Anolis sagrei: one gene and its partners. The protein of the gene in region 1 interacts with the protein of each later gene in a pairwise test. Links are inferred from orthologs where the notes say so. Each region holds a gene or a part of one and is shown in the gene's direction. Other genes may lie near its edges.

The links.
Region 2: the proteins of ATXN2 (region 1) and SH3GL3 interact in binary tests that used the Homo sapiens proteins (3 or more experiments, as listed by UniProt). The link is inferred for Anolis sagrei from reciprocal best matches to the Homo sapiens genes ATXN2 and SH3GL3.
Region 3: the proteins of ATXN2 (region 1) and SH3GL2 interact in binary tests that used the Homo sapiens proteins (3 or more experiments, as listed by UniProt). The link is inferred for Anolis sagrei from reciprocal best matches to the Homo sapiens genes ATXN2 and SH3GL2.

The regions. Positions count from the first base shown.
Region 1 is NC_090034.1:30,793,039-30,801,253, forward strand, and holds the start of ATXN2 (ataxin-2), read left to right. Parts: upstream 1-5,076; 5' UTR 5,077-5,152; coding exon 5,153-5,391; intron 5,392-8,215. UniProt on the Homo sapiens protein: Involved in EGFR trafficking, acting as negative regulator of endocytic EGFR internalization at the plasma membrane.
Region 2 is NC_090029.1:32,892,421-32,899,906, forward strand, and holds the start of SH3GL3 (endophilin-A3), read left to right. Parts: upstream 1-4,089; 5' UTR 4,090-4,270; coding exon 4,271-4,315; intron 4,316-7,486. UniProt on the Homo sapiens protein: Implicated in endocytosis. May recruit other proteins to membranes with high curvature.
Region 3 is NC_090022.1:212,488,528-212,496,832, reverse strand, and holds the start of SH3GL2 (endophilin-A1), read left to right. Parts: upstream 1-4,908; 5' UTR 4,909-5,058; coding exon 5,059-5,103; intron 5,104-8,305. UniProt on the Homo sapiens protein: Implicated in synaptic vesicle endocytosis. May recruit other proteins to membranes with high curvature. Required for BDNF-dependent dendrite outgrowth.

The DNA.
Region 1 (8,215 bases):
CCTGCTTTGCTCCAGTCTGAGCAAAGGTTCTGGAAAACTCAAGGCTGCACTCACTCTGCTGCTGTCGCATTTTGCTAGAGAAAGGGCCTCATGGTGGATTTGGAACCAGAGTGACAAGAACGGAACTTGACATCAGTAGCTTTTTGAACTGTAATGCCCACAATCTACCAACCAGCCTGGCTGAATTGTCTGTCTGTAGGAGGACAGATATATTGGCTGACTCAGTGGTGTCCAAATTTTTTGCAAGAAGGGTCAGACTTGGCAAGATTAACATAGGAGCCGATCAATTCAGCCTGACATTCTTTGAACCATTAACATTAATGGCAAATGAACTATTTTATGAAATTTGCATTGAAAATCACATACTTCTCATTTCTTCACACAGAACACAAATCTAAACAAGTTTTTACAAAAATCACTCTACCTTTCATATTTGAAGACCACATAAAATGGAGAAAAAGTCTGTTTGGAAGATTAAACATCTCTAGGTTCATTTGAAACTACATATTATTCACTATTGAATGCTCCCCTTAACTGGGTTGTTGTAAGTTTTTTCGGGCTGTATGGCCATGGTCTAGAGCAGGCATGGGGAACCTTCGGCCCTCCAGGTGTGGTGGACTTCAACTCCCACAATTCCTTGAGGCCAAGGTAAGCCTTTGGGGCGAATGCCGAGCCTCAAGGAATTGTGGGAGTTGAAGTCCACCACACCTGGAGGGCCGAAGGTTCCTGACCCCTGGTCTAGAGGCATTAACTTCCCTTAACTTCTAAATTCAAAACATATAAACAGAAAAATAACACTAACAATTATCTTACAAAACAAAACATTGAGGGCATTTTAATTGTACAAAATGCATAAGGTTGTGGCTGAACTACAACTCACATCATGCCAGGTTAACCCTAAGAACCTCCATCAGTACTTCAAGTTGGTTTGGTTGTGTTGGGCAAATTTGCTCTGGATGCATCATCAGTAAGGTTCAGTGTGCTCTCTGGCTGCAGGGTAAACTACAGCTCCCACTATGTTGAGTCAGTCCCCTCAAACCTCTCCAGTAGGCCGAGTTAGTCAAGGGGTGTGTCAAGTTTGGTCCAGATCCATCATCGGTGAAGGTCAGAGTTTCTCTGGTTGTGGGTTAACTACAACTCCCAGAAGGGAAGGTCAGTTTCCTCCAAAACCTTGCAGTAATCAAATTTTGGTATATCAGATATGTGTGCCAAGTTTGGTCCAGATCCATCAGTTTTTGGGTTCACAGTGCTTTCTGGATGTAGGTGAATGACAACTCCCCCAAATCAAGGTGAATTTCCCCCACAGACCTCCAGTATCTGGTCATGGAGCCTCTGTGGAGTTTGGTCCAATTCTATATCCTTGATTGCAGGTGAACTATGAATTCCAGTACCTCCAACTCCAAAATGTCCAGGCCAATTCCCCTCACAACCCACCAGTATTCCAATTTGGGCATATTGGGTATGCATGCCAAGTTTGGTCTAGATCCATCATTGTTTGGGTTCATAGTGCTCTCTGGATGTAGGTGAACTACAACTCCTATAAATCCCTCCAAAGACCTCCAGTATGTTTTTGTGATCATGGGGGTTCTGTGTGCCAAGTTAGTTCCAGGTCCATCACTGGTGGAGTTCAGACTGCTCTTAGAGTGCAGGTGAACTATACATCCCAGGACCTACAATTCCTATGAATCATAGTGAGTTCTCCCCAAACCTCTCTAGTATGTTCAGTTGCTGATCAATTCCTCTGTTTGCTGTATGCCATAGAAAAGAATAGGAAAGGGTTAAGGAAGAGGCAGTGGGCGGGATCATGCAAATTCCACACCGATGGAGAGAGTCAGAAATCTGGGATGTCTGCGGTGGAGGAAACGCATGAAATCAAGGATTGAAAGCCTTCACTTGGGTGGTGGGCAGTATGGTGTTTGTGGAGGACATTAGCAGGGCTCTTGTGCATGTTCATGGCGCTCACTATAACCTGCAATGTCACTGGGGGGGGGGGGGGGGCTTTGGTATTTCCTGAGCAGTGGGAGCTATATAAGCCCTGAGTCCCTATGGGGAGATAGAGTGGAATATAAATAAAGTATAATCATTATTACTATTATTATTGTGGAAGCAGGAGCCTGTCTGTGTCAGTAGACACCCCAGCCACACACACATACATATTTTAACTTTTATTATGTGTATAGATAGATAGATAGATAGATAGATAGATAGATAGATAGATAGACAGACAGACAGACAGACAGACAGACAGATAGAAAGATAGAGAGATAAGAATATACAATACTAATCTACTAACAGATAGACTTAAGTTATAGCTTTCAAAGAACAGTTTGGAAACAAAACTAACAGAAACATCCAAGAAAAATCTTCAAGCAGAAAAGGAAAGGATAACTAACTGGAATCAAAGATCCAGCATAAAAAGACATGGTTATTAGGTTTCAAGGACAGTAAGAACTCTCTATTACAGTGTGTCTCAAACTTCCTAATGCCGCGACCCCCAAACATAAAATTATTTTTGTTGCTAATTCATAACTAATTTTGCTTCTGTAATGGATTGTAATGTAAATATCTGATATGCAGGATGTATTTTCATTAAATGGACCTAATATGGCACAAATGCCCAATATACCCAAATTTGAATACTGGTGGGGTCAGGAGGGGGGGGGGGTTGTCATTTGGGAGTTGTAGTTGCTGGGATTTATAGTTAACCTACCATCAAAGCATTCTGAACTCCACCAAAGATGGCATTGGACCAAACTTGGCACACAGAACTCCCATGACCAACAGAAAATACTGGAAGGGTTTGGTGGGTATTGACCTTGAGTTTGGAGTTGTAGTCGCCTACATCCAGAGAGCACTGTGGATTCAAACAATGATAGAGCTGGACTAAACTTGACACAAATACTCAGTATGTCCAAATGTGAACACTGGTCGAGTTTGTGGAAAACAAACTTTGAAATTTGGGAGTTGTAGTTGCTTGGATTTATAGGTCACCTAAAATCAAAGAGCACTGATAGAATTGGGCCAAACTTCCCCCACAGAACTCCCATGGCCAACAGAAAATACTGTGTTTTCTTAGAGTTTTTGGTGACCCCTCTAACATCCCCTTGTGACCCCCCCAGGATGAGAAACGCTGCTCTAGTATATGGAAGATACCAAGGCTGAATCAAATCCCACCTTGTCTGCTTTGAACTAGAATATATGGCAGTGTGAAGTCAGATAACCCAGTTCAAAGCAGATATTGTGGGATTTTCTGCCTTGATATTCTGTGTTATAGGGCTGTGGGCTCTTCCACACAGCCTATATCCCAGGATATCATGGCAGAAAATCGCACAATATCTGCTTTGAACTGGGTTTTCTGAGTCTACATTCAGATAATGTGGGATTTTCTGCCTTGGTGTTAGAGGGCTGTGTGGAAGAGCTTATAGACTTTCCAAACAGTTTAGTAGTTTAAACAATGAATGTTAGGGTAATAGAGATGAAAATCTGAATGTAATACCATACAATGTTTTAAAGGTTCCTTAACTGCTCTCACCACCACCACCACTTTTCTTGATTATTTATTAGACATTTGTTAAATCTATTAAACTTATAAAATTAATAACAATATGAATAAATCCTAAATGTGTATGTGTGGGGGAGAGTCTTGGTGGTGGGTCCGTAAGTAGATCTAGATTAAAGGTAAAGGTAGTCCCCTGACATTAAGTCCAGTCATGTCTGACTCTGGGGTGTGGTGCTCATCTCCATTTCTAAGCCGAAGAGCCAGCGTTGTCCGTAGACACTCCAAGGTCATGTGGCCAGCATGACTGCATGGAGCGCCGTTACCTTCCCGCCGGAGCGGTACCTATTGATCTACTCACATTTGCATGTTTTCGAACTGCTAGGTTGGCAGAAGCTAGGGCTGACAGCGGAAGCTCACGCCGCTCCCCGGAATTGAACCTACGACCTTTCGATCAACAAGCTCAGCAGCTCAGTGCTTTAACCCACTGAGCCACCGGGGGCTCAGTGGGTTAAATCTAGATTAGATATAGATATTCCGTATTTACCCAGATCGAATGCTAATCTTTTGGGGCTACATAAAGTGATCTATTCTACAGCATAGATGCCCCAAGGTTTTTTTTCCCATTGCTGGAAGCTTTGGTATTGTAACCCGTTTGTTTTGAAAGAAGCAGGCAGCAACTCAAATGGCAGCATGACAAAGAGGACACTTTTGGCCACTTTCTTTGTGCATGACATTGGGCAGCAGAGACTTTTTGGTGTCAGGAGGTGCAGTTAGGCCCCTTCCACAGCTTGACAAAATCCACCTTGAACTGGATGATATGGTAGTGTGGACTCAGGGCCCTTCCACACACTCATATAACCCAGAATATCAAGGCAGATAATCCACAATATCTGTTTTGGACTGGGTTATCTGAGTCCACACTGCCAGATCATCCAGTTCAAGGTACATTTTATCCAGCTATGGAAGGGGCCTGAGTTATTCGAGGCCCCTCCCACACAGCTGAATAAAATCGACATTGAACTGGATTATATGGCAGTGTGGATTCAAATAACCCAGTCCAAAACAGATATTGTGGATTATCTGACTTGATATTCTGGGTTATATGGCTGTGTGGAAGTGCTCTGGGTTATCTAAGGGCCCTTCCACACAGCCCTATATCCCAGAATATCAAGGCAGTAAATCCCACAATATCTGCTTTGAACTGGGTTATCTGAGTCCACACTCAGATAATGTGGGATTATCTGCCTTGATATTCTGTGATACAAGGCTGTGTGGAAGGGCCCTGTGTTATCTGAGTCCACACTGCCAAATAACCCAGTACAAAGCAGAGAATGGGGGAATTTTATCCAGCTATGTGGAAGACGCTTGTGTGCATGGGAGACCCCCCCAACCCGCAAAGCCAGTTGCAGGCTCCACGCATGCGCTGCCTTTCTCCTCGAGGGAGGGAGGGGAGTTCACGTGACCCGGAAGCGGGGCCCCTGCCCGGCTGAGGCGACGAAAGCGGCGGAGGAGGGAGGGGCCATGCTGGAGGGGGCGGAGCGTCTTTCTTCGCTTTCTTCTTCTTTCCCGCCCAAAAGCAGGCCAGAGGCTCCTCCCCCTCCTCTGAGGAGAAGAAGAAAGAGGAGGAGGCGGGCAGAGCAAGGGAGACCGGCCATGGCCCTCAAGCAGAGTATCACCACGCCAGCTTCGGCAACTGGAGCAGCGTCCCCCGCGCCTTCGCCGCCGCCTCCTCAGCAGCAGCAGCAACAACAGCAACAAGCGGCACCCAGCCCGCCTCCGCCTCCCCCCCCACCTCCTCCCCCGCCACAAGGCTCGGCGGGCGGCAGCGGGGGAAGGAAAGCCCCCGGCGGAGCAGGCCTCGGCGGAGGAGCAGGCCGCGCCGCCCTCGGCAGGTGAGGCCTTCCCCTCTTACCTCCCCTCCCCGCCCTCGCGTTGTCCCTCCCCCAGACTTTGGAGCCAAGCGGCCTGGGCCCCGAGCCGGGCCCTTCCTTGGGGTGGGGTCGCCTCAGCCCCTCCGCCCCTTTCCTGCGCCATGAGAGGAATCCGGAGGGGGAGGAGGAGGAGGAGAAGGCAACTCTTCGGTAGCCTGCGTTGAGTGTATTATTGAGGCGCCGCCGCCGCAGTCTTGTGACCGGCCGACCTCTCTCGCTCGCGCTCCTCTTTCCGCCACGGAGGCCCCTTCCCCACAGCTGAATCAAATCCCACCGTGTCTGCTTTGAACTGGAATATATGGCCGTGTGGACTTAGATAACCCAGTTCAAACAAGAAATTGTGGCATTCTCTGCCTTGATATTCTAGGTTGTAGGGCTGTGTAGAAGGGCCCTGAGCAAATGGGCGCCTGCTTCCTTCTCAGCAAAAGGGACCGACTCCCAAGAGGTCCCACGAGCACGGCTTGGGTTCTTTTTCGATCCCTCCACCGTTTTATTTTCGATCGTGTTATTTTAGTCTTGCTTTATATTCTCATTAATGTCTTTAATGTCTTATTGTCTCTTCTTTGTATTTTTATTTGATGTTATATGGTATTCTGTTCTGATTTAATATTTAATAATTTATTTATATTTTTATTTCATTTTGTGTTTTATTTTTTTTAATTTATATTATATTATCCATATTGCGTTATATATATATATATATATATCACTATTATCTATAATTATGATATATTTTCTTATATGATATTGTTATATTTTATATTTTATTCTTTTTAATATTTTTATGTTATATTACTATGTCATATTATTTTATATTATATGATATTGTTATTGTATTCTAGTTTGTATTTGTTTCTATTTTATGTCTGTATTATATTAATACCTTTTTATTTTGTATTTTTATTAAATTATTATCTTTTATATTCTTTTTGTTCTATTTTATATTTTTGTTTTGTTATATTATGTGATATTATTTTATTATATGATACTGTTATTATATTTTACATTTTTTTATTTTGTATTTCTATTATATAGTCTATTTTATATTCTTTTTATGATAAGATATGATAGTGTATTTTATGTTCTCTATTTTTTATTACTATGATGATGACATTGTTGTTATTGTTATTGTTAATATTTGAACTGCCCCCTCCACCTGTGTCTCTCTTTCTCCCTCGGCAGGAGAAGGGTCACTTGTGCTCTAGTGGCAGCTATAATAACAGCAATAATAATAATAATAGGAAACGTATTAACCAACTCTCATTGTGGCTGAAAATTCTGTTTGGCGAGAGGGGGGAGCAAAAAGGAGGGATCTGGGGATTGTATGAAAGGAGCCTTTTCTTGTAAGGGGCTTTCTGCCCAGGATCCCAAGGCAATCACAAAATCAGAAAAAAACAAGAGAGAATGCTGGGCAAAAGGAGGACCCAGAGGAAGTGCAGGATTAAAAATAAAGGTCTTTTCCTTTTATTGATGTCTGCCCCCCATCCCTCCACCACCCGAATCGGACCACTGTACAAAGAATGGGGAACGCCCGCCTCCTGGCTTCCCCCTTTCCTCCCTTCTCAACATTGCATCAGAAACCCCTCTGGTTTGACAAGGGAGGTAGGAAGTAGAGGTAGGGCTCAGGTGGGGAGGGGGGCTTTGGGGTTGCTGCCTGGGGAGTGGGGAAAAGGTGAGCTGAGGCGTCCCTTCCCAAAAGGAGGGAGAATATTTTGTTAGAGGAGGATGGGCTGTCATCCTCGAAAAATGTTTGACCAATCCAGCGTTAACCTTGACCTGGGATCTTTACGGTGTTGGGAGGAAAAGGATGGGGGTGACATACTTTGAGGGGGAGGCACATGGCTTCCTTAAGGCTTTGTGCATGCCTCAATAGAATACGGAGATTCCAGGATGCAGCAAGTGGTCTTCACCTGGAGGAGCAAAGCAGCCTCTTGGAGGGGGATGGAGGGAGTGGGCAGAGCATGGCACCCAGCAGAGGCAGGCAGGGAGACTTGTGGTGCCTTGGCAGAAGGGAGGAGGATCCCTCTCCTGCAAGAGGGCCTTAGGGAGGAGGGAGAAGCAAGGGGGGCAGAATCCACTTGGGGCTGCTTCATAGCAGGCATTTGGGATGGGGAAGCGGCATATTGTCATGGTGCTGGGGGGAAACAGACAAGGACTTTCTGTGCGGTATCTCTGCCTGTAAGAAGTTGTATGAATGGGGAAATAGGGCATGGGTAAGGGCACTCCTGTCCAAGGCCTGGGCTGCTGCAGAGGGATTCCAGGTCTGGGGTAAGCCAGAGAGGAGGGAAACTTTTGAGCTGGTTCTTTGCCTGGACGTCCTGTGGGTGACCATTGGGACAGAGCAGAATTGTATGACCCTCCCAATGCTGGGGTATTATAGGTCTCAGCAGCCCTGGTGAGTAATGCTGAGGCTTGCGGGTGAGGGCAATCTGCAGGATCAGTCTGGAGACTGAGGGGGATTTCCGACCTTCAGGGTTAGGTAAGGAGCAAATGGAGGCCATGCCGAAGGCACCTTGGCAAATGTGGTTGCACCAGTCCAAGCCTGTCTTTCCTTCCTGCAGTCTTGAATGCAGAATAGCATTCTCTGTCTCAGTCCCTTAACCAACCCCCTTTCCATGGCACTGGGCAGTGTACTCCTACTTGGTCTCCTTGTCTAAATCAAAGGCCCCCTCCAACAGTGCTCTCTTGGAGAAGAAGAGTGAAGGTTATCTCTTCTCTGGAAGATGCAGGGTTTGAATCTCCGCTGGTCAGACTGGGATATACATTCTGTACTATACATTCTGTA
Region 2 (7,486 bases), on another chromosome or scaffold:
ACTGTTTGAGTCCCCAGTGCTCTCCGGATGTAAGTGAACTATAACTCCAAAACTCAAGGTCTATGCCCACCAAAACCTTCCAGTGTTTTCTGTTGGTCATGGGAGTTCTGTGTGCCAAGTTTGGTTCAATTCCATCATTGGTAGAGTTCAGAATGCTCTTTGATTGTAGGTGAACTATAAATCCCAGCAACTACAACTCCCAAATGTAATGATCTATTTTCCCCAAACTCCACCAGTGTTCACATTTGGCATACTATTTGTGCCAAGTTTGGTCCAGATCCATCATTGTTTGAGTCCACAGTGCTCTCTGGATACAGGTGAACTACAACTCCAAAACTCAAGGTCAGCGCCCATCAAACCCTTCCAGTATTTTCTCTTGGTCATAGAAGATCTGTGTGCCAAGTTTGGTTCAATTCCATCGTTGGTAGAGTTCAGAATGCTCTGTGATTGTAGGTGAACTATAAATCCCAGCAACTACAACTTCCAAATGACAAAATCAATGGACTATAAGGCCTACCTGAAAGGGACCTGAGTCCACATTCAGATAATGTGGGATTTTCTGCCCTGATATTCTGGGATATAGGGCTGCGTGGAAGGGCCTGAAGAACTGTTCCTGTGTATAGGCATGGATGGCAATGCAGCAGCCAGTATCAAATCCGTAGCATTCACTGGAAGTGAGACATACCTCAATTGGCTTTGACCAGCTTATTTTTGGCAGCTTTCATAATGGACTGTTTGGAAGAATCTGAGACCCCTTCTACACTGCCATATAATCCAGGTTATCAAAGCAGAAAATCCACATTATTTGAACTGGATTATATGAGTCTACACTGCCATATAATCCGGTTCAATGCAGATAATCTGGATTTCATATGGCCAATATAACATGATATAGATCAGACATGAGCAAAATTTGGCCCTCCAGGTGTTTTGGACTTCAACTCCCACCACTCCTAACACCCTACTGGCTGTTAGGAATGGTAGGAGTTGAAGTCCAAAACACCCGGCAGGCCAAAGTTTGTCCATACTTGATATAGATCAATGTTTCAATCATGTCTGGTTGGCAGGGGTGTATATACTATATCAGTGGCTCCCAACCTTTGGTCTTCCACGTGTTTATATATTTCAGCTCCCATAATTACTTATAGCTGTCTGGGATTTCTGGGAATTGAAGTCCAAAACACCTGGAGGACCAATGGTTGGGAACCACTGCATTATACATAGGGGATTTGTAAGCATCTCCCTTCCAATAGACAGCATGTTAAAATGGGCCAAAGTAAAGGCTCTGGTATTGTTGAAGATTTTAATGGCCTGAATCACTGGGTTGCTAAATCCCAACAAAGGATTCTCCCAGGCAGGATGCAGCCAGGCTTTGAAGCTGCAAGGCCATTCAATACTAATCAAGGTGGCCAATTCCACAGATATATAAACCTCACTTGCCTAGTTTCCAACAGACCTCTAGAATCAAGAATCATAGAATCAGAGTTGGAAGAGACCTCATGGGCCATCCAGTCCAACCCCCTGCCAAGAAGCAGGAATATTGCATTCAAATCACCCTTGACAGATGGCCATCCAGCCTCTATTTAAAAGCTTCCAAAGAAGGAGCTTCCACCACACTCCGGGGCAGAGAGTTCCACTGCTGAACAGCTCTCACAGTGAGGCAGTTCTTCCTAATGTTCAGATGAGTTCTCCTTTCTTGTAGTTTGAAGCCATTGTTCTGCATCCTAGTCTCCAGGGCAGCAGAAAACAAGCTTGCTCCCTCCTCCCTATGACTTCCTCTCACATATTTATACATGGCTATCATATCTCCTCTCAGCCTTCTCTTCTTCAGGCTAAACATGCCCAGCTCTTTAAGCTGCTCCTCATAGGGCACGTTCTCCAGACCCTTGATCATTTTAGTCGCCCTCCTCTGGACACATTCCAGCTTGTCAATATCTCTCTTGAATTGTGGTGCCCAGAATTGGACACAATATTCCAGGTGTGGTCTAACCAAGGCGGAAGAGAGCATGGGGAGCATGACTTCCCTAGATCTAGACACTATGCTCCTATTGATGCAGGCCAAAATCCCATTGGCTTTTTTGCTGCCGTATCACATTCCTGGCTCATGTTTAACTTGTTGTCCACGAGGACTCCAAGATCTTTTTCACATGTACTGCTCTCAAGCCAGGCATCATTGTCCCCCATTCGGTCTCTTTGCATTTCATTTTTTCTGCCAAAGTGGAGTATCTTGCATTTGTCCCCGTTGAACTTCATTTTGTTAGTTTTGGCCCATCTCACAGCCTCTGAGGATGCCTGCCAAATATGTGGGCGAAACGTCAGGAGAGAATGCTTCAGGAACATGGCCATACAGCCCGGAAAACTCACAACAACCCACTGTCATGTGCATAATTTTAGATTTTGGCATATTTCAGAATTCCCAATAAGGAATAACCAACTTGTAGTGGCATCTCATTTTCTTCTAATTCTTTCTAAATATTTTTTTCCAAATGTGTCTTAGGATGTTTTACGGTTTAATTCAGGAACAATACAGCTTAAAACCTTCAAAAGGTGGACATTAAAATGATATCATTCACATTATTAAAGTTAGACAACATGTTAAAATGGGCCAAAGTAAAGGCTCTGATATTGTCAAAGGATTTCATGGCCTGAATTCTGTATTGATGAATCCCAACAAAGGATTCCCACAGGCAGGAAGCAGCCAGGCTTTGAAGTTGCAAAGCCATTCAATGATAATCAAGGTGGCCAATTGCAACATCCACACTTGCTTCCAACAAACAAAGAGTTCTTTCTCCCACCCTTGACATTCCACAGATATATAAACCTCACTTGCCTAGTTTCCAACAGACTGCACAACCTCTGAGGATGCCCTGCCATAGATGTGGGCGAAACGTCAGGAGAGAATGCTTCTGGAACATAACCATAAAGACCGGAAAACTCACAGCAACCCGGCTGTATGATATTTCGGAATATTAAGAACTAGCTGACCCTGCCACACGTTGCTGTGGCCCAGTCTTGCGATCTGGAAAATAAAGTAATGATAAAGTGTTGGTTTCTAATAGATGTAATTTCTTTACGCTTGTGGGTAAACAGAATTTCTCATTGATTTTTGGCAGTGTTGATGTAAAGATTGTCTGGTTTTCCTACTCTGGAATATGCATCATATAATTGTCCTTCTTTAGGGGTCCCTTTCAGATCTATGATACTATATCTCTCTGTGTGTGAATCATATCAAAGAGCTGGATGGCTCTTTATCAGGAGGGCTTTGATTACATTTTCTTGTCCTGGTGAAGGGAGTTGGACTGGATGACCTTAAGTATTTTCTGTTGGTCATGGGGGTTCCGTGCGGGAAGTTTACCCCAATTCTGTTGTTGGTTGGGTTCAGAACGCTCTTTGATTGTAGGTGAATTGTAAATCCCAGTAACTACAACTCCCAGATGTCAAGGTCTATTTCCCCCAAAATCTATCTGTGTTCATATATGGGCAAATGGAATATTTGTGCAAAGTTTGGTCCAGATCCATCATTGTTTGAGTTCACAGTGCTCTCTGGATGTAGGTGAACTACAATTCCCAAACACAAGGTCAATGCCCACCAAACCCTTTTAGTATTTTCTGTTGGTCATGGGAGTTCTGTGTCCCAAGATTGATTCAATTGCATCATTGTTGGAGTTCAGAATGCTCTTTGACTGTAGGTGAACTATAAGTCCCAGCAACTACAACTCCCAAATGACAAAATCAATTTTTTGAGTGAAGGACATACATTGGGTTGTTAGGTGTCTTGTGTCCAAATTTGGTGCCAATTCGTCCAGTAGTTTTTGAGTTCTGTTAATCCCACAAACGAATATTACATTTTTATTTATATAGAAGATTGGCATTGCCTTAGCATTTGCGGGTAAAAACAAACAACCCCTCGTCTTTGTTGTGCCCGCATCTCCTTTGCTTTCCGACGTGCTCCTTCCTCCTCCTCTCTCTGGCTTTGTCTGCAAACCAAAACAGAACGTTGGCGTCTTGAGGGTTCTGATTTTTGCATAACTCCCTCCAAGGGACCAATCGCTGGGCGAGCTGATCTGAATCGAACGCGCCGTAGCCAATGGGAGGGCAGGCGTGGAGCGTGTTCGGAAGGCAGTGGTCCTTCCAGCTGAGCTGCCTTCTCTCTCTTGGAGCCTGGCCTTGGCACAGCATCCAATCCTCCTCTGGACCTGGGCATTGGCCATTTAACCCTTTGTTTCTGTTGGCTGGAAAACTCAGATTGCGCCCTGGGGGCAAAGCTGGCATGTCGGTGGCAGGGCTCAAGAAGCAGTTCCATAAGGCCAGCCAGGTAAGAGGAACATAATATGGTTTGGGACTTTGGGTAGGAGGACACCTGCAGCCTTTCCAGGGTTTGCAAATCAGGAGGGTGAATTGAGGCAAGAGGGTCATTGCTGGCTACTGGCTGGGGAAGAGTTGCCCAACTCAACAGATATTTCTCAAGCCCAGTGTTTCTCAACCTGGGGGTCGGGACACCTGTGGGGGTCGCGAGGGGGTGTCAGAGGGGTCGCCAAAGACCATCAGAAAACATAGGATTCTCATAGAATCATAGAATCAAAGAGTTGGAAGAGACCTCATGGGCCATCCAGTCCAACCCCATTCTGCCAAGAAGCAGGAATATTGCATTCAAATCACCCCAATCATTCTATCGTTGTTGGGGTTCAGAATGTTATTTCATTGTAGGTGAACTATAAATCCCAGTAACTACAATTCCCAAATGTCAAGGTCTGTTTTTCTCAAACTCCTCCAGTGTTCACATTTCAGCATATTGAATATTCGTGCCCTGTTTGGTCCAGATCCATCACTGTTTGAGTCCACAGTGCTCTCTGGATGTAGGTGAACTACAACTCCAAAAATTCAAAGTCAATGTCCACCAGATCCTCCCAGTGTTTTCTCTTGGTCATGGGAGTTCTGTGTACCAAATTGGGTTCAATTTCATCATTAGTGGTGTTCAGAATGCTCTTTGATTGTAGGTGAACTATAAACCCCAGCCACTACAGCTCCCAAATGACAAAATCAATCTCCCCCCCCCCCCACAACCCCACCAGTATTCAAATTTGGGCATATTGGGTATTTGGGATTTGAAAATACATCCTGCATATCAGATATTTACATTACGGTTCATAACGGTAGCAAAATTATAGTTATGAAGTAGCAATGAAAATGTTATGGTTGGGAGTCACCACAACGTGAGGAACTGTACTAAGGGGTCGCGGCATTAGGAAGGTTGAGAACCACTGGAGTCTAGCCCATTGATTCCCAAATCCTTGCCCTCCCAGAATCTCTGACCCTTGGCCAAGGTGGCTTCTGGAAGTTGAGGTTTAATACACGCAGGAGTTTGAGAATCACTATGTTGCCAATCGTGGAGGGTTGCAAATAGTTGTGTGTTTAATACACTACCTCAAAATAAGCCTAAAAGCTGTGATTGCAGAATTCTCTGGAATTTTCCTGTGTGATATCCAGCAAAGGTACCACTTCCTCAGCCCTGTCCATCTTACTTCTGTTGCAACATCTCTGCCCATAGTGGTTGATTTGTGATTTTGTATTGTTGATGTGTTATTTATAATGGGTTTTTTTGTGTTGTATTTTTATTTACTTACATTTTATTTATTGCTATATTCTGTTTATACTGATGTATTGTTTTGCTGGGCTTGGGCTCATGTAAGCCGCCCCGAGTCTCCTTGGCGAGATGGGGGTAGGGTATGAACAGAGGCGGCCCTAGGTAATTTTCAACGGTAAGCAAACAGTATTTTGGCACCCCCCCCCCAACCAATCATTGATATATATTTTCTGTTTGTCGTGGGAGTTCTGTGTGCCATATTTGGTTCAGTTCCATCATTGGTGGAGTTCAGAATGCTCTTTGATTGTAGGTGAACTATACATCCCAGGAACTACACTTGCCGCACTTGCTCCCTTGCCTGGCCCACTTTGGGTCCGGAGGCGTGCCTGAAGACCCCGGCGTGTGCACCAAAAGTCACCTCTTCTCCTGACTTTCTCCTCAGCCATTGGGACCGAGAGAGAGAGAGAGAGAGAAAGAGAGAGGTGGAGATGCCCGCCTTTCCTGAAGGTAGGTGCAAAAACAAAGGAGGGAGCGGATGTGGGAGATACCTCCAGCCGGAGGGTCTCTCTCTCTCTCTCTCTTGGTCCCAATGGCTGAAGAGAAAGTCAGGAGAAGAGGCTACTTTTGGTGCGCACGCTGGGGTCTTCAGACACGCCTCCGGACCTGAAGTGGGCCAGGCGCGGCGGCTCGTCCCCTTGGCCCACCCGTGGATTGGGGAGGGGAGAGGAGGCAGGTGGAGCGCTGGGGGATCGGGAAAGGGAGCCGGTCATGGGGAAGGGATCGAACGTGGAGAACAATTGAGCGCTGGCTCTGCTTGCGCACCCGGTGGCCGGGTGGAGCAGGAACGAGAGGGGCTTGGCGAGGCTCAAGGGTCCAGCCCCTTAGGGAAGAGGATCGCCCAGCAGCGAGGCAAGAAAGCCGAGGCTCCCCCCGGACTGCTAGGGCTGTTGTGAGCTGAGGGGTGCTCGAGGGGCATTGTGAGCTGAGTGGGCTGTTGTGAGCTGAGTGGTGGTCGAGGGGCATTTACAGAGGCGGCTCTGCGCCCCTGGCAAAAAAAGTGTTCTGCAACCACTTACTTCGTGTAATGGACGAGCCGCCCCTGGGTATGAATAAAGTTTATTATTATTATTATTATTATTATTATTATTATTATCTCTCAGGCTGTTCAGGTCCCATTTGCCCCATCTACACTGAAACTGCATTATGTGGTCAGTGTAGGCCAGGCATGGACAAACTTGGGCCCTCCACGTGTTTTGGACTTCAACATCCTGGTTGGATTACTGCAACGCACTCTACGTGGGGTTGCCTTTGAAGACTGCTTGGAAACTACAACTAGTCCAGCGAGAAGCAGCCAGATTGCTCACCGGAGCGACGTACAGGGAGCATACCACCCCCCTGTTGCGCCAGCTCCACTGGCTGCCGATCCAATTCCGAGCGCAATTCAAAGTGCTGGTTTTGACCTACAAAACCCTATACGGTTCCGGCCCAGTGTATCTGTCCGAACGGATCTCCCTCTACGTCCCATCTCGAAGCTTAAGATCTTCTGGGGAGGCCCTGCTCTCGACTCCGCCACTGTCACAAGTGAGGCTGGCGGGGACGAGGATCAGGGCCTTCTCAGTGGTGGCCCCCACCTGTGGAACTCACTCCCCGGGGAGATTAGATCGTCATCTTCCCTCTTGGCATTTAGGAAAAAACTGAAGACCTGGGTCTGGGATCAAGCCTTTGGTCATTCTGACAGCTAACTGAAGGATCTGATGATAGACAAGGACAAATGGAATGGAATGGATATATGGACTCTGAACCCTGAGCATGAGACTTTTATGATTTTATTATGTATTGATGTTTTTAATTAATTGTTGAATTGTTTGTATTTGTATTGCTTGTGAATTGCCTTGGGCATCT
Region 3 (8,305 bases), on another chromosome or scaffold:
GAAAGGTGCATATGCATTGTAGAATTAATGCAGTTTGATAGCACTTTAACTGCCACAGCTCAATAAGTTGGAATCCTTGGATTTGAAGTCTGGCATAGTACCAGCACTATTTGGTAGAGAAGCCAAAGATTGTGTAAAAATAAACTCCTGTAGTCCAATAGCATTGGGTCGTGGCTATTAAAGAGCTGTCAAACTGCATTAATTCTACAGTATAGGTACACCCTAATACTCCCAGATGAGTTTGCTCATCTGAGAGCAAACTCCACCATAGTCCGTAAGGCCTACTTCAGAATAGGCATGTCCAGGGCTGCATTTTTATTTTTCAGGTTTGAATAAGTGTTACACGAAGATTGCTTTAGGAGAAAGTATAGGTGAATTCTCTTTACTCTTAAAACAAGAGAAAGTGGTTCAATTTGGAACTCTCTGCCCTGGAGTGTGGTGGAGGCTCCTTCTTTGGAGGCTATTAAACAGAGGCTGGATGGCCGTCTGTCGGGAGTGCTTTGAATGCAATTTTCCTGCTTCTTGGCAGGGAGTTGGACTGAATGGCCCACAAGGTCTCTTCCAACTCAATGATTCTTTGATTCTATATTGCCTGTAACAAGAGCATATCTACATTTCCAATTATATTTTGTGATGCCTTCTTGGAAAGTCTATTTGTCAAGGGCTGCTGCACCTGAAAATTATACACGTAATTGTAAACTGCTTTTTCTAAGGTTAACCTTTAGAGGCTTCACTGAAACAAGATATAAATGGATTTTCCCTCCAGAATTCTGTGTTTTCGCTCTCGACAACATTATTTGCAGTGTGCATGTACAGTACATGCGTATGTGAAATGTCATCCTTAAAGTTTGCTTCTCTTTATTGCATTCAATGAAGTAACTCCAAAGACCCTCACAAAAGCAAACTACTTTTTGAAATGAAGCTACCCTGAAATGAAATCGTCCTGGATAGCAATATTTGGGGGGAGGTGGACAGAATATTAACAAAAATAACAAGAAGCAATGATTTATTGCATTTCAGCTGGATAAAACACTTTGTGTTTGATCAAAAATAATAAATGGTATCTTTATTGACACAACCCTAGTCCTCTTGATGGCTGCCTCTCAATTCTGGGACTCCCCATTGCCATGTAGTTGAAAGGCTAAACTGTCTTTATTCCCACAGGCTATTAAAACAGCAGGCTTTTAAAGACTGGACCAAGTGGTGTGGTGTCATTTTAAATGTACTATTTTAATAGCTTTTTAATATTTTCAATTGCCTTTTATTCGTTTATCTAGAAATTTGAAAAATTTTAATATTATGACTACTTTAATTCTGTTTTCATGGTTACTTTTGGTATGTTTTCAACTACAATGCTCTTTTAAACTATAAGCCACCTTGAGTCCTAGTTCTGGGAAGAAGACAGGATAAAAACAAATAAGTAGTCTCTGAGGGACCTTCCACACAGTCCTCTATCCCAGAATATCAAGGCAGAAAATCCCACATTATCTAAGTGTGGAGTCAGATAACAGTTCAAAGCAGATAATGTGGGATTTTATACCTTGATATTCTGGAATAGAGGACTGTGTGGAAGGGCCCTCAGTTGCTTAAACCCATGGGGATTGTTAGATACCAGAATAACGCAGTTTCTGGTTGCTTGAGGGTTTAATGAAAAATCGGCCTCTTACTATACCCCATACTATACCATTGCATAAATTCTGTATTGTCTATTATTATTATTGAAAAGCAGTAATTAAACCTCAATTAAGGGCCCTTCCACACACCCTAGATCCCAGAATATCAAGGCAGAAAATCCTACAATATCTGAGTATGGACTCAGATAACCCAGTTCAAAGCAGATATTGTGGGATTTTCTGTCTTGATATTCTGGGGGGCCTTCCATACAGCACCTTTATTGCGGTATCTACTGGAATAAAGGAGGGGCTGTCCAGACAATGTCTGGACAGTCCCAAATTAATTCCCTACAAACCAGGAAAACCTTGTTTTGTAACAAATTAATTTAGTAGTGGATTTATTCCACGCTTTCTTGGAAGGCGTGGGATAAATCCATTATTTCCAGGTCTGGACTGCAAAATACTGCAGTCCAGACAGTATTCCCACAGTTTACTGGGCTATATAAGCCCAGTAAACTGTGGGAATACCCCCCCCCCCATGCGCTTTCTGGTGTGGTTGTCCAGATGTTCCCTTGGGCGCCCTCCTCTCCTCCCCCCAAATCCCCAGACCCCTTAGAAAAGAAATAAAAACTTTTGTGCCCTCCATTACAAGAGTCAGCCAGCTCTCCCGGTGCATACAATGACATGCCAGGAGAGTGTGTGTGTTTGTGTGTGGGAGAGCTATCCCCCCCCCCCCCCCCGGTGCATTATTTCTCCTGGCATGGCGAGGCTTGTAATGGCTTTCTGGGGTGGGTGTGGACAGGCCCCCAGAAACATCCATGTTTGGGATAAAGGCCTGACTGGATCCGGCCTGGGATATAGGGCTGTGTAAAAGGGCCCTTAGACAAATAAAAACAAAACTAATGTAATATTTCCACCAAAAGCAGCCAAGCGCCTCTCCTCTAGAGTAAGAAACAGAGAACTTGCCTCCTTGCTTTGGAAAGAGTGCTGTCTTCTCTTCTCCAAGCGAAATATACTCTGCTCCCCAAGTCATTTCTCATAAGGCTTTTTTTCCTGACTTTTAATCGTCTTGGTCATTTTTATTTGGGCATCTTCCAACTTGTCAATATCCTTTTCGAATTGCGGTGCCCAGAACTGAACACAGGTGAATTTGGACCAAAGCAGAACAGAATGGTACTACAACTTCCCTTGATCTGAATGCTATGCTGTTGTTTGAGATAGCATTGCCCGTTTTTGGCTGCCACATCATACAGTTGACTCATGTTTAGACCCTTAGATCCTTTTTGCTTGTACTGTTATCAAGCCAGGTATCACCCATACAATATATGGGCACTTCATTTTTCCTGCCTACATGTAATCCCTTAAATTACTCCATGTTGAAATTCATTTTGTTAGTTTTGACTCAGCTTTCTAATCAGCCAATGACATTTTGTTGAATATGTTATTATTATTATTATTATTATTATTATTATTATTATTATTATTATTTCTTCATGCAAGGAAACATCCTGCAAGGAAAAAAACATGGAAGAGCTACACTTAAGAAATGACAAAGACAGAAAAAGATAACATATAAAGAACTTTATTTTGAGAGGCCATACATATATATAACCCTTCCCTCCTCTCTTCTAATGACATTGTACACTTCTGATAACCAAATAATATCAATTTTCAAAATAGTTATCAAATCATTTTTGTCTTTCCACAAAAAGTGTGTCAAGGGCTTCCAATCATTTGCAAATCACCCTAATGATTTTCCCTAATCAAGCCACATAATTCATCTCTAGCAGGTCATTCAGTGTAAAGGACATTTTGGATTCTTGTCCTCTGGGGTATTAGCCACCCCTTCCTAATTTGGCATTATCTGCAAATTTGCTAAGGATGACTTCTACTCCATCATCCAAGTCATTGATAAAGATGTTGAATATGAAATAGTGCTCTATTTCATATTGCTCTCCATCCCTAACTTTGTCATATGGCTTTGTACTTTATCCATCAACTCTGTCCTCACAACTTATTTGCACCTGTCTGCCCACCCGAGAACAGAAGTGTTTATTACTCAAACCACTGGTTTTTTTTTGCTTGATGGTTGTTTTATATTGTGTTGAGTTGTTGTTTGTTTTATATTGCTTTATGACTTTGTTTTATGCATTTTATTGTGCTATATTTTAACTATGTTGATCGGGTTTGTCCCCATGTAAGCCGCCCTGAGTCCCTTCGGAGAGATGGAGGCGGGATACAAAAATAAAGTTATTATTATACTGACACAAAAACACAGTATGTCACAGCAAATGAGATCTCTGTGCTGGATTTCGTATCACAAAATCACAAGTTGAACACTTCCCAAGCGTCTAGGACTGTGTGATGTATTTTTGAATGATGCGTGCAGATCCAAGTAAGGTGGCCTTTTGCAGTTGACAGATTGTGATTTTGTCAATGTTTATTGTTTCCAAATGCTGGCCGAGATCTTTTGGCACGGCACCCAGTGTGCCGATGACCACTGGGACCACCTGTACTGGTCTATGCCAGAGCCATTTCAGTTTGATTTTGAGGTCCTGTTGTTTTTCCTCCATGCAACTGTCACCTGGTATAGCAACATTGAAAATCCAAACATTTTTCCTTTCCATAATCGTGATGTCTGGTGTATTGTGTTCCAAAACTTTGTCAGTCTGGATTATTATTATTATTATTATGACCCCCAGTGATGCAGTGGATTAAAGTGCTGAGCTGCTGAACTTGCTGACGGAAAGGTCACAGGTTCAGATTTGGGGAGCAGCGTGAGCTCCCATTGTTAGCCCCAGCTTCTGCCAACTTAGCAGTTCAAAACATGTAAATTTGAGTAGATCAATAGGTACTGCTCTGGCGGGAAGATAACAGCACTCCATGCAGTCATGCTGGCCACATGACCTTGGAGGTGTCTACGGACAACACCGGCTCTTGGGCTTAATGGAGATGAGCACCAACCCCCAGAGTCGGATGTGACTGGATTTAATGTCAGGAGAAAACCTTTCTCTTTAGCTTTACCTTACATCAGGTATATCTGGACAATATGGATTTATTTCCAAACATTCCTACCAAGTTTTAGGACCAGAGCAGTCCTGGTCACTCCGGTGGAAGATACTGGGAAAAGGAACAGGAGGGAGTATAACTCTTTCCATTCTTCCACAGTCAATAAAGCTGCTTACCATGTCCTCTCATTGCCAGAGAGGCTGCTTTGAAGCTCTTTGCTTGACCCAAAAGAGAGAGGGGGGTGGCTGTCCCTTTAAGAGGCAGGGCTGCCTGTCTCTGACGTCAGGCGCGCGCTCTCTCTCTGCATCAGAGCATCCCCGCTCAAGCAGGAGGAGGGCAAGAGGGAGGCTGGCACCAGAAGGGACCTTTCCCGCTCCTCCGGCATCCCTCCATCTCTCTCTCTCTCTCTCTCGCTCTCCTTCCACCTACAGCAGAGATGTCTGTGGCGGGGCTCAAGAAGCAGTTCCACAAAGCCACTCAGGTAAGGAAGCCAAGGAGGAAGGGAAGCGGGAGGGAGAGCGGGAGGGAGGGAGGAGAAGCAGCCTTGGGGGCATCCTCCTCGGGTCAAAGGAGGGCGAAGCGCCTTCCTCCCTCTGGTCTGGACAATCTCCTCCTCCTCCTCCTCCTCCTCTCAACACACGCACTCTAGGCTCCGAGGGGCCAGGAGGGGGCGCTCTCCTTCGTAGCCGGGGAAGAGAGCCCGAGCTGGTGTGCGCGTGTGTGTTGCTAGGTTGGGAGTGCGTGCCTTGGCATTAGCCATAGATTCATGGATTGCATGGCGTTTCAAGGCGTCTTCGGAGGTGGTTTGGGCATCTCCTTCTTCTGGGCTCCCATTGGCAGCGCTTCTGGGCTTGGGGAAGGGCCTGGATGGGGGATTCTGGGAGTGACAGTCCCCCCAGAAGGCACCTTTGCTCAGCAGAGCCGGCTTGGGGGGTGGGGGTGGGGATTCTGTGATTGACAGGCGTTCAAGACAGCTTTCTTTAGCATAGCTGGAGGGACGATTCGAGGTGGTTTTGGCATCTCCTTCTTCTGGGCTCCAATTCACAGCGCTTCTGGGCTTGGGGAAGGATCTTTTGGAAGTACTGGATGGGGCATTCTGGGAGCGACAGTCCCCCAAAAGGCACCTTTGCTTAGCAAAGCTGGCTAGGGGAGAATTGTGTGATTGACAGTCCCTAAAGACAGCTTTCCTTCACATAGCGGGATGGACGATTCAGGGATTGGGTTGCTGTGAGTTTTCCAAGCTGCATGGCTATGTCCCAGAAGCATTCTTTCCTGATGTTTCGCCCACATCTATGGCAGGCATCCTCTGAGGTTGTGAGGTCTGTTGGAAACAAGGCAAGGGAGGTTGACATATCTGTGGAATAATGTCCCAGGTGAGAGAAAGGACTCTTGTCTGTTGGAGGCCAAGGTGAATTTTGCAATTGGACACCTTAGATTAGCATTGAATAGCCTTGCAGCTTCAAAGCTTGGGAGGTTGATATATATGTGGAAATTCCAGGGTGGGAGAAAGAACTGTTGCCTGTTACAATTGAGCATCTGGATTAGCATTGAATAGCCTTGCAGCTTCAAAGCTTGGGAGGTTGATTCATCTGTGGAATAATGTCCAAGGTGGGAAAAAGAACTCTTACCTGCTGGAGGCAAGTGTGAATGTTGCAGTTGATCACCCTAATTAGCATTGAATAGCCTTGCAGCTTCAAAGCCTGACTGCTTCCTGCCTGGGGGAACCCTTTGTTCGGAGGTGTTAGCTGTCTTCAGAGTGTTCTTTATTTACTGTCATGATTTTAAGAGATTGAGGGATTGACAATCCCTTTCCCCCCATTTGAACTTGATAGTAGATTGACAGTCCCAAAAAGCATTTTGGAGGGATCTGCAGATTGCAGCGTCTGGAGCAAAGAGATCAAGGGTGCATCTAATTAGGCAAGGTGTCTTGGGAGGTTGTTTTGGCATCTCCTTCTGGTCTCCAGTTGACAGCACTTCTGGGCTTGGGGAAGGGTCTTTTGGAAATGCTGGATGGGGGATTTTGGGAGTGACAGTCCCCAGAAAGGCACCTTTGCTTAGCAGAGCCGGCTTTGGGGGGGGGGGGATTCTGTGATTGACAGTCCCTAAAGACAGCTTTCCTTAGCATATCTGGAGGGGCGATACAGAGATTTACACTCAGTCCCTTTTCTCTATTATAGCTGGATAGATTGACAGTCCCAAAAGCAGTATTGGGAAGCTCCAGATTGCAACATCTGGGGCAAAGAGACCAAGAGTGGGTTGCTGTAAGTTTTTCGAGCTGTATGGCCATGTTCCAGAAGCATTCTCTCCTGACATTTCACCTGCATCTATGGCAGGCAGCCTCAGAGGGGACCTCACAACCTCTGAGGATGCCTGCCATAGATGCAGGCGAAACGTCAGGAGAGAATGCTTCTAGAACATAGCCATAGAGCCCGAAAAGCTTACAGCAACCCAGTGATTCCGGCCATGCAAGCCCTTGACAACACATTGAAGAAGGGTGCATCTTGCCTGGTAGAATGAATGCAGTGTGATCCCAATGGCTCAATGCTATAGAAGCCTGGGAGTTGTACAGGCTCTTTATTTTAGCCTCCTTTACCAAAGAAGGGCTTCTGCCTCCTCAAATCGCCATAATTGTAGTTTGGTGCCCGACTGCATGGGTTCTAGAGCATAAGGGGTTTCTTGGAGGGGTTGTCTTCGGCCAGGGAGACTCGAGAGGTGCCTCTTGCCCTTGCCTTGCTCTGGAGTCGGTCTCAGATCCGAGCAGGCAGAGCTGAAGCAGGGAAGGCACTGTGTCAGGGCAAGGCTGGCATCCCTTTGGCAGGGAGGGAGGCCTCTCCTTTCCTGCGCCAGGCTGCCTTCCGCAGGATCTGGACCGCGTCCCGGGTCGGAGACTTTTGCCGCAGAAACCCAGGGAGGGGGCACCGCATTGCCACCCCTTCCACACACAGCAAGGAGCCCGACCTGGTTACTCCCCTTTTCAGCATGTCTCTACCCTTCCTTGTGGCTTGGTTCAGCCTGGGACTCCCTTTCTCCCTCTCTCCTGCTGATCTTTCCTTGCATTGGAGCTCCCTCGCCATTGCGGCTCTTTACGGGGAGATTGGGGGGAGGGCTTCCTCCTCTCCCAAATCAGATGGAAATATTTCCAGACCTCCGCCAACTCTCTCCCTCCCCCCTTCCCAATTGTCCTGGATGATTATGTAAAAGTCCTCCTCCAATGACCTTCCTTCTAGTGATACCTACATAGATATAGATAGAGATACTCGGGAGCTGGGCTTTCCTCTCCTAAATAGTCCATTCCTTCTGGCTCTTGAGTCCAAATAGCCCAGGCATGGGCAAACTTGGGCCTTCCTCCTGGTGTTTTGGACTCCAGCTCCCACAATTCCTAACAACCTCAGGCCCTTTCCTCTCCCCTTCTCCCCGCCAGCCGCTTAATCAGGCTTGAGGCTGTTAGGAATGGTGGGAGTTGGAGTCCAAAACACCTGGAGGAAGGCCCAAGTTTGCCCACGCCTTTCCCCCCTCAGCTTAAGCAGCTGAGGGGGAAAAGGAAGGTGCCTGAGGCTGTTAGGAATGGTGGGAGTTGTAGTTCAAAATACCTAGAGGAAGGCCCAAGGTTGCCCGTGGAGGCATGGGTAAACTTGGGCCTTCCTCCAGATATTTTGAACTACAACTCCCACCATTCCTAACAG